2 linked regions of the Callithrix jacchus genome follow. The protein of the gene in region 2 interacts with the protein of the main gene of each other region in a pairwise test. Links are inferred from orthologs where the notes say so. Each region holds a gene or a part of one and is shown on either strand. Other genes may lie near its edges.

What was found.
Region 1: the proteins of SH3GL1 (region 2) and DPPA4 interact in binary tests that used the Homo sapiens proteins (3 or more experiments, as listed by UniProt). The link is inferred for Callithrix jacchus from reciprocal best matches to the Homo sapiens genes SH3GL1 and DPPA4.

The regions. Positions count from the first base shown.
Region 1 is NC_133516.1:100,617,537-100,621,791, forward strand, and holds the start of DPPA4 (developmental pluripotency-associated protein 4), read right to left. Parts: upstream 2,825-4,255; 5' UTR 2,766-2,824; coding exon 2,742-2,765; intron 1,122-2,741; exon of another isoform or gene 881-1,121; intron 1-880. UniProt on the Homo sapiens protein: May be involved in the maintenance of active epigenetic status of target genes. May inhibit differentiation of embryonic cells into a primitive ectoderm lineage.
Region 2 is NC_133523.1:4,111,575-4,115,135, reverse strand, and holds part of SH3GL1 (endophilin-A2), read left to right. Parts: intron 1-1,395; coding exon 1,396-1,464; intron 1,465-1,787; coding exon 1,788-1,860; intron 1,861-2,661; coding exon 2,662-2,802; intron 2,803-3,332; exon of another isoform or gene 3,333-3,561. UniProt on the Homo sapiens protein: Implicated in endocytosis. May recruit other proteins to membranes with high curvature.

The sequences.
Region 1 (4,255 bases), on a different chromosome or scaffold from region 2:
CCCTTCCAAATAAATTATTTTCTAACACTGCTGGCAGAGTGACACTATGAAAACTTTACATCCTTTCAGCGGTTTATTGCTCTTAGAATAAAAATAATTGTCTTTGGCTGGGCGCAGTGGCTCATGCCTGTAATTCCAGCACTTTGGGAGGCCGAGGCGGGTGGATCACAAGGTTAGACGTTTGAGATCAGCCTGACCAACATGGTGAAACCCCATCACTACTAAAAATACAAAAATTAGCAGGGCGTGGTAGCAGGCACCTGTAATCCCAGCTACTCGGGAGGCCGAGGCAGGAGAATTACTTGAACCCGGAGGCAGAGGTTGGGTGAGCCGAGATCGCGCCATTGCACTCCAGCCTGGGCGACATAGCGGGACTCCTTCTCAACAAAAAAAAAAAACAAAACAACAACAAAAATTAGCTGGGCATGGTGCTGCGCGCCTGTAATCCCAGCTAATCGATAGGCTGAGTCAGGAGAATCCCTTGAACCTGGGAGGCGGAGGGTGCAGTGAGCCGAGATCAGCCACTGCACTCCAGCGTGGGTGACAGAAAGAAACTCGTCTCGTTAAAAAAATAAAAATGTTTAGGCCGGGTGCAGTGGTTTACAGTTGTAATCCCAGCACTTTGGGAAGCCAAAGCGGGCAGATCACAAGGTCAGGAGTTCGAAACGAGCTAGACCAACAAAGTAAAACCGCGTCTCTACCAAAAATACAAAAAACTAGTCGGTAATCCTAGCTACTGAGGAGGCTGAGGCAGGAGAGTTGCTCGACCCGGGAGGCGAAGGTTGCAGTCAGCTGAGATCACGCCACTGCACTCTAGCCTGGAAGACAGAGCGAGACTCCGTCTCTAAAATTAAAAAAATGTAATCTAAAACTTCCCCTAGCCTTTTACCTCGTTGCCTTTCTGAGAGCAAGATGGGTCACCAGCAGCTGTACTGGAGCCACCCGCGAAAATTCGGCCAGGGTTCTCGCTCTTGACGAGTCTGTTCAAACCCGCACTGTTTGATACGTAAATACGGTCTCAATATGTGCCGCCAGTGTTTCCGTCAGTACGCGAAGGATATAGGTTTCATTAAGTTGGACTAAATGGTCTTCAAAGGATTATCCAAGACATCTACCATGAAAAACCATTTTTTTTTTTTTTTTTTTTGAGACGGAGTTTCGCTCTTGTTACCCAGGCTGGAGTGCAATGGCGCGATCTCGGCTCACCCAACCTCCGCCTCCTGGGTTCAGGCAATTCTCCTGCCTCAGCCTCCTGAGTAGCCGGGATTACAGGCACGCGCCACCATGCCCAGCTAATTTTTTGTATTTTTAGTAGAGACGGGGTTTCACCTTGTTGACCAGGATGGTCTCGATCTCTTGACCTCGTGATCCGCCCGCCTCGGCCTCCCAAAGTGCTGGGATTACAGGCTTGAGCCACCGCGCCCGGCCTCATGAAAAACCATTATACCTCTTTGTATATAAAATAAACATTTTTAAAAACCAAAAAAAAATTCCCCTAAATCTAAATCTTTTTCTTCACTTTCAGGCGGATTACTGCACAGATTAACATTTGTATGGCATTTTTACATCTCTATAGCAGGTCTACATTTGGATTTGAAATTTACCTTTGCGTAACCCTTACAAGAACTACTCACTTTGGACCTCACGAAGACTTAAAACTGAGAGTTAAAAACGACCCGGTTCAAGTAAAGAGGCTCAAATATGGCCGTTCAGTGCATGTGCAACACGTCTCAAAAGCTCTCTTCCTTCAGTTTGTGCGGCTGCCAATGTCTGGCTCCGCTTGCTCCTAAATCCTAAGGACACTGGGAAAAAGAAAATTCGTACCCAGCACCTTTGGTTTAGGATCCGTGTCCATCTAAAGGGAATTAAGGAGTTTCACGCTTTTCCAACCTCAGCTCAATGACCTCTTCCTAAAATCTTCCCTCACCGCCGGTTTTCTCCTGTAACCATTTCCCTCTGGCCCCGATATTCAGTTAATTCTTCCGACCGGACAAAGCACTTCTTCAAAACAGAACACCCGGGCCCGGAGCAGCGGCGTGTGCCCAAAAGCACTTTGGAAGGCCGAGGCGGAAAGGTCGCTTGAGCCTGGGCGGTCAAGGTGGCACTGAGCAGTGATGCTCACTCCAGCCTGGGAGACACGCAGGGACCCTGTTCCCAAAACCAAAACCTCAACACCTCATTTCTCTCTTGGTCCCCATCTCTTGACACCCTCAACCTCCTCTCCTCAGCTAAACCTAGCAAACCTCATTTCTTACTCCGCTGTACCAGGCTGCAATCATGTTCTTGGGGTTTATTCCTAAGAGGCAAGAGAAGAAAACCCGAAGGTACATTGTTTTCTCCTTAAAAGACAAATCCGGGCCGGGCGCGGTGGCTCATACCTGTAATCTCAGCACCTGGGACGGCCAAGGCAGATCACCTGAAGTCGGAGTTTGAGACCGGCCTGACCAACACGGTGAAACCCCATCTCTACTAAAAATACAAAAATCAGCTGGGCGTGGTGGCGCGTGCCTGTAGTCCCAGCTACTCGCGAGGCTGAGGCAGGAGAATCGCTTGAACCCAGAAGGCGGAGGTTGCCCTGAGCCGAGATCGGGCCATTGCACTCCAGCCTGGGCGACGCAGCGAGGCTCCGTCTCAATAATAATAATAATAATAATAATAATAATAATAATCAGGAGTGCTCAGGGAAGACAGAAACACGAGGAGACAAAGACAGAAAACACATTCACTAAGACTGTACCGACCTCCTTGCCTTTTACCTTCTCCATATTCGGACAGGAAGCGAAGCTTGGCCAGATGCTTCCAAAATGGCCCCTGGCCCCAGATTGTTGTTTGCAAAGTCTCCTCCCACTTCCTGCCTCCCAAAGACCCTTTTTCTCCCCACCTCTTCTTTTCTGCTCCCCTTCTGTTCCCTCCCCCACAATTTGTAAATGCTGAAATTGTATCCTTTCTTATTCATGAGGGGACTTTTGTAGGGGTGGAATCACTAATCCCATTCCTGGCCCTTTTCTGTGCACTTTTAATGTAATTATCCAAAGTATGGTTCCGGAGACCTTGAGAGGTAAAAGGCTCCTGCAGAACAATTCCTGGGGGGGGGGGGGGGGGGGGGGAGTTGCCAGAGACTTGACTTGTGCAGGATGTGGAAAGGGATTTAGTAATGGAACATGTGGAAACAGCAGACTTCAGGGACCAGACTGGTGGCTTGAAGAAAGCTAAACTATTTTCTCCCACCGAATACATTCCATTTCCTAAGGGAGTTACTCAACCAACTAAAACTCAGGTTTCTGTCTGTACCAACACCCAGCATCTTTTTCATCTGCCAATGATCTAGTAATCATAGGTTTTAAAGTCTGCAGAGTAGGACGGGCGTGGTGGCTCAAGCCTGCAGTCCCAGCACTTTGGGAGGCCCGGGTGGGCGGATCACAAGGTCAAGAGATCGATACCAATTTGGCCAACATAGTGAAACCCCATCTCTACTAAAAATACAAAAATTAGGCCGGGCGCGGTGGTTCACGCCTGTAATCCCAGCACTTTGGGAGGCCGAGGCGGGCGGATCACGAAGTCAAGAGATCGAGACCATCCTGGTCAACAGGGTGAAATCCCGTCTCTACTGAAAATACAAAAATTAGCCGGGCGTGGTAGCACGCGCCTGTAATCCCAGCTGCTCCGGAGGCTGAGGCGGAAAAATCGCTTGAACCCAGGCGGAGGTTGCAGTGAGCAGAGATTGCGCCACTGCACTCCAGCCTGGCGACAGAGTAAGACTCCATCTCAAAAAAATAAATAATAAATAATAATAATAATACAAAAATTAGCTGGGAGTGGTGGCGCGCGCCAGTAATCTCAGTTACTCAAGACGCCGAGGCAGGAGAATCGCTTGAACCCAGGAGGCGGAGGTTGCAGTGAGCCGAGATCTTCCCATTGCACTCCAGCCTGGCAATAGAGGGAGACTCCGTCTCAAAAAAAAAACGTCTATAGAGTATGTTATTTATTGTGTGTGTGTGTTGGGAGTGGGCAGGGCGGGGTCCTCTCTACTTTGACCAGGCTGGTCTCGAACTCTATGCTTCCAGTGATTCTCCAGCCTTCTCCTCCCAAGGTGTTGGCATTACACGTGTGAGCCAGCACTCCGAGCCCAAGTATTCTTTATATCAAATTGTGAGTTTAAAACTCAGTCAGGGCGTGGTGGCTCATGCCTGTAATCCCAGCACTTTGGGAGACTGAGGTGGGCGGATCACCTGAGGTCAGGAGTTCGAGACCAGCC
Region 2 (3,561 bases):
ACCAGCCCACGGCACACAACACCTCACACTCCTGCCTAGGCCGTGTGCACGTCTTCACACAAGTGACCAGACCCGGGACGTTAAATTTGCCGATGGCTTCAGAGATGGCACACCCTGTGACACTTGGCCTCCAGAGGGCAGGGCCAAGCATGTGACCTCAGGTGGCCTCCCTCTGGGAGCCTCCATTTGGGGCAGGGCCTGGCAGCCACTCGACTCCTCGTGAAGCACTGTGTACTGGGAAGGGCCTCACAAGGTCCCTCTTCTCCCTTCTCCCTTCGAGGCATCTCTTGGCTCCAGGCACACACGGGATGCCCGGGGTGAAGAAGGAGCGCCTGTGCTGGGACAGCGGTGCTGGGGTTGAGGGGTTCCGCCCCGTTCCAGGGCTGTTTTTCACATCCCAGGCGCTCTCAGAGGTTTGGGAATTAAGTGCTTGATTCTGCCTCCCACCACACGAAAGAGACGTCATTGTCATCGCTGTTCCTGCAGCTGAGAGCCATGAGGACTGTGGTGTGCCAGGCCTGTGCTGACTGCCTTGTGAGCCTCAGTGCCCATGTGGCAAGGGCCGGGCTGTCTCATCCCACAGACGCGGGCACCAGAGTGCAGGAGAGTGGCGGCTTCCCTGCCTGCACCTCTGCTTTTAACCGTCACTTCCTGCTGCCTGTCCCAGCTGAGCTGGCAGGATTTTTTCTTATTTGGGACAGAGTCTCGCTCTGTCACCAGGCTGCTAGAGTGCAGCTTCCACCTCCTGGGTTCAAGCAGTTCTTGTGCCTCAGCCTCCCAAGTAGCTGGGACTACAGGTGCACGCCACCACACCCAGCTTATTTTTGTGTTTTTAATAGAGACAGGGTTTCACCACGTTGGCCAGGATGGTCTCAATCTCCTGACCTCATGATCTTCCCACCTCTACCTCCCAAAGTGCTGGGATTACAGGCATGAGCCCCACCGCGCCTGGTCAGGATTTTTTTTAAGTAGACACAAAATATTCAAGAATGGGGGCAGATCCCCACATTGCTCTCTATGGGGATGTTTGTGTAGGCGCCTTGGGAAGCAGTGTCTTCTGAATCATGTGTTCCCAGGCTGAGGCTCTGGACTCCACTATGGCTAAGGTGGAGCCTGCTGTGGCGGGGTCCCTGTGGATGTGTGAGCAGCACTGTGAGTGGCAGTCAGGACACACAGACGAGGATAGGCCACCCCCGCACTCCCCCTGCAGGCCCACCCTGCTCTGGGCCAGCAAGTGGCCCTAGGGTGCCTGCGACAGTGCCTGAGGCATGTGTCCCGTTCGCCTGGCTTTCTGCCACCTCCTGTGGATGTGATGTGGCTGGAAGGTGGCCCAGGGCCTCCTGTCATCTTCCTCCTCCCCTGGGCTCACAGCATTTCCCCTCTTCTGTCCTCCAGCTGGTCAGTGAGAAGGTCGGAGGGGCCGAGGGGACCAAGCTGGATGATGACTTCAAAGAGATGGAGAAGGTGAGGAAGAAACCGTGTTCTCCATGTGGTGATGGCACCTCCCTGGGCCTGACCTCTGCTAGGCATAGTGGAGGTGGCCAACTCTGACTGGCCTGGGTCTGTGGAGTGATGGGGCCCAGCAGGCATGGAGAGCTGGGGTGTGGGGGCCTTGTCAGCTGGACTTGACAAGCAGGCAGCCATGGGGACGTGGCTGAGCTGAAGACATGGAGGGAGGTTGGGGGATCCTAGTGTGGGCTGTTAGGGAAGGAGGTGGGGCAGCAGGGGCCTTGTGTACCTTGAGCCCCCAGTGGCTGTAGAGTCTCATATGCCGCGTCTCTCCACAGAAGGTGGATGTCACCAGCAAGGCGGTGACCGAAGTGCTGGCCAGGACTATCGAGTACCTGCAGCCCAACCCAGGTGGGTGCTCCAGCCGATGCTAGGGCCTTCCCAGGCCCTCAGAGGGAACGTAGGGGCTGACAGAACCACCAGGCTCATGGGTGGCAGGTTTTAGGCACTGCTGGATCCAGGGGTGCCGAGGCTGTGCTTGCCTTTCCACGTCAGCCAGCAGCTCAGCCCCTTTGTTGCCTCACTCAGGCCGGCCAATTCCTCAAGGCTGTCCCAACCTTAAACCTCTTCCAGCCAGCAGTCCCGGCAGGGAGCCTCTCCCCCAGCTCACTTGTGGGACTTATTTGTACTGACTGTCCCTCCCCAGAGCCCCTGGCCTGGGCTCCATGCTTGGAGCCCATGAACTGGGTCTCCCCAGCCGTGAGGCAGGCCTTTCCCCAAATGCGGGCTCCATAGGAGGCAGTGGACATGGGGCAGACCCACAGCCAGCATTGTCCACTCAAGCCCTACCAGGAGCAGACCCAAGCAGGCAGCGGAAAGGACATAGCTCCTCACCCACCCCAGGAGCCTTGGCCTCCCCACCCCCCACTGCCCATCACCGCTGCGCGTACTCCTTCCTGGCACCCCCCTAGATGAAGGGTTCCTGGTCATAGCCACATTCTGGGAGGAGCAGCCCTTAGGAGGAGGTGGTGTTGCCCCAAGGAGCTTGGTTACCTCTCCATGCGCTGCCAGCTCCTTCGAGGCTGGTGGGAGCAGGGAAGGGACCCTCCACTGTGCTTTGTGTGGCCTGGACTGTCCGCAGGCACAGGAAGTAAGGGTGGGGCAGGGGATGTGGGGGCTGCAGCCCACTCCCACCGGGCCGTCCTGTTCCAGCCTCGCGGGCTAAGCTGACCATGCTCAACACGGTGTCTAAAATCCGGGGCCAGGTGAAGAACCCCGGCTACCCGCAGTCGGAGGGGCTCCTGGGCGAGTGCATGATCCGCCATGGGAAGGAGCTTGGCGAGTCCAACTTTGGTGAGTACTGCTCTCTGGAGGCCACACCCCCACGAGGCAGGGCAGGTCCAGGTCCGATCCACGGCCTAGTCCCTGCCTGTGCTGAGCCCTGGGGATGCATGGTGGCCCCCACAGCTTTCCAGTTGCAGGGGACTGCACAGACAGAGCCATCCAGCACCGGCCAGCAGCCAACGGGGCTCATTCCTGTGGCTCCAGATCGTCCCCAGCTCAAGCTAGTTGATTCCCCAGGGCCTGGCCCCCCAGCATCTGTCCTCCCACCACCTTCAGCCTGTTGAGGCCAAGCCTGGGCCCTTTTAGGAGCACAGGGAGGGAGGCTGCTTTAACATCCCACATGGATTCGGATTTTAGGGCCCTTGGTTTTGCTCTGAGTTCCTGGAGTGTGGGGGCTGGGCGTGGTGGCTCACACCTGTAATCCCAGCACTTTGGGAGGCAGAGGCAGATGGATCACCTGAGGATGGGAGTTCCAAGTCCAGCCTGGCCAACATGGAGAAACCCCGTCTCTACTAAAAATACAAAAATTAGCCGGGTGTGGTGTGGTACATGCCTGTAATCCCAGCTACTTGGGAGGCTGACGGCAGGAGACTCGCTTGAACTTGGGAGGCGGAAGTTGCCGTGAGCAGAGATTGCACCATTGCACTTCAGCCTGGGCAACAAGACTGAAGCTCTGTCTCAAAAAAAAAAAATTAGTAGTAGTGGGGAAGGATCTGGATGTGGGTACACACCTGTGGTCCCAGCTACTCGGGAGGCTGAGGTGCCAGC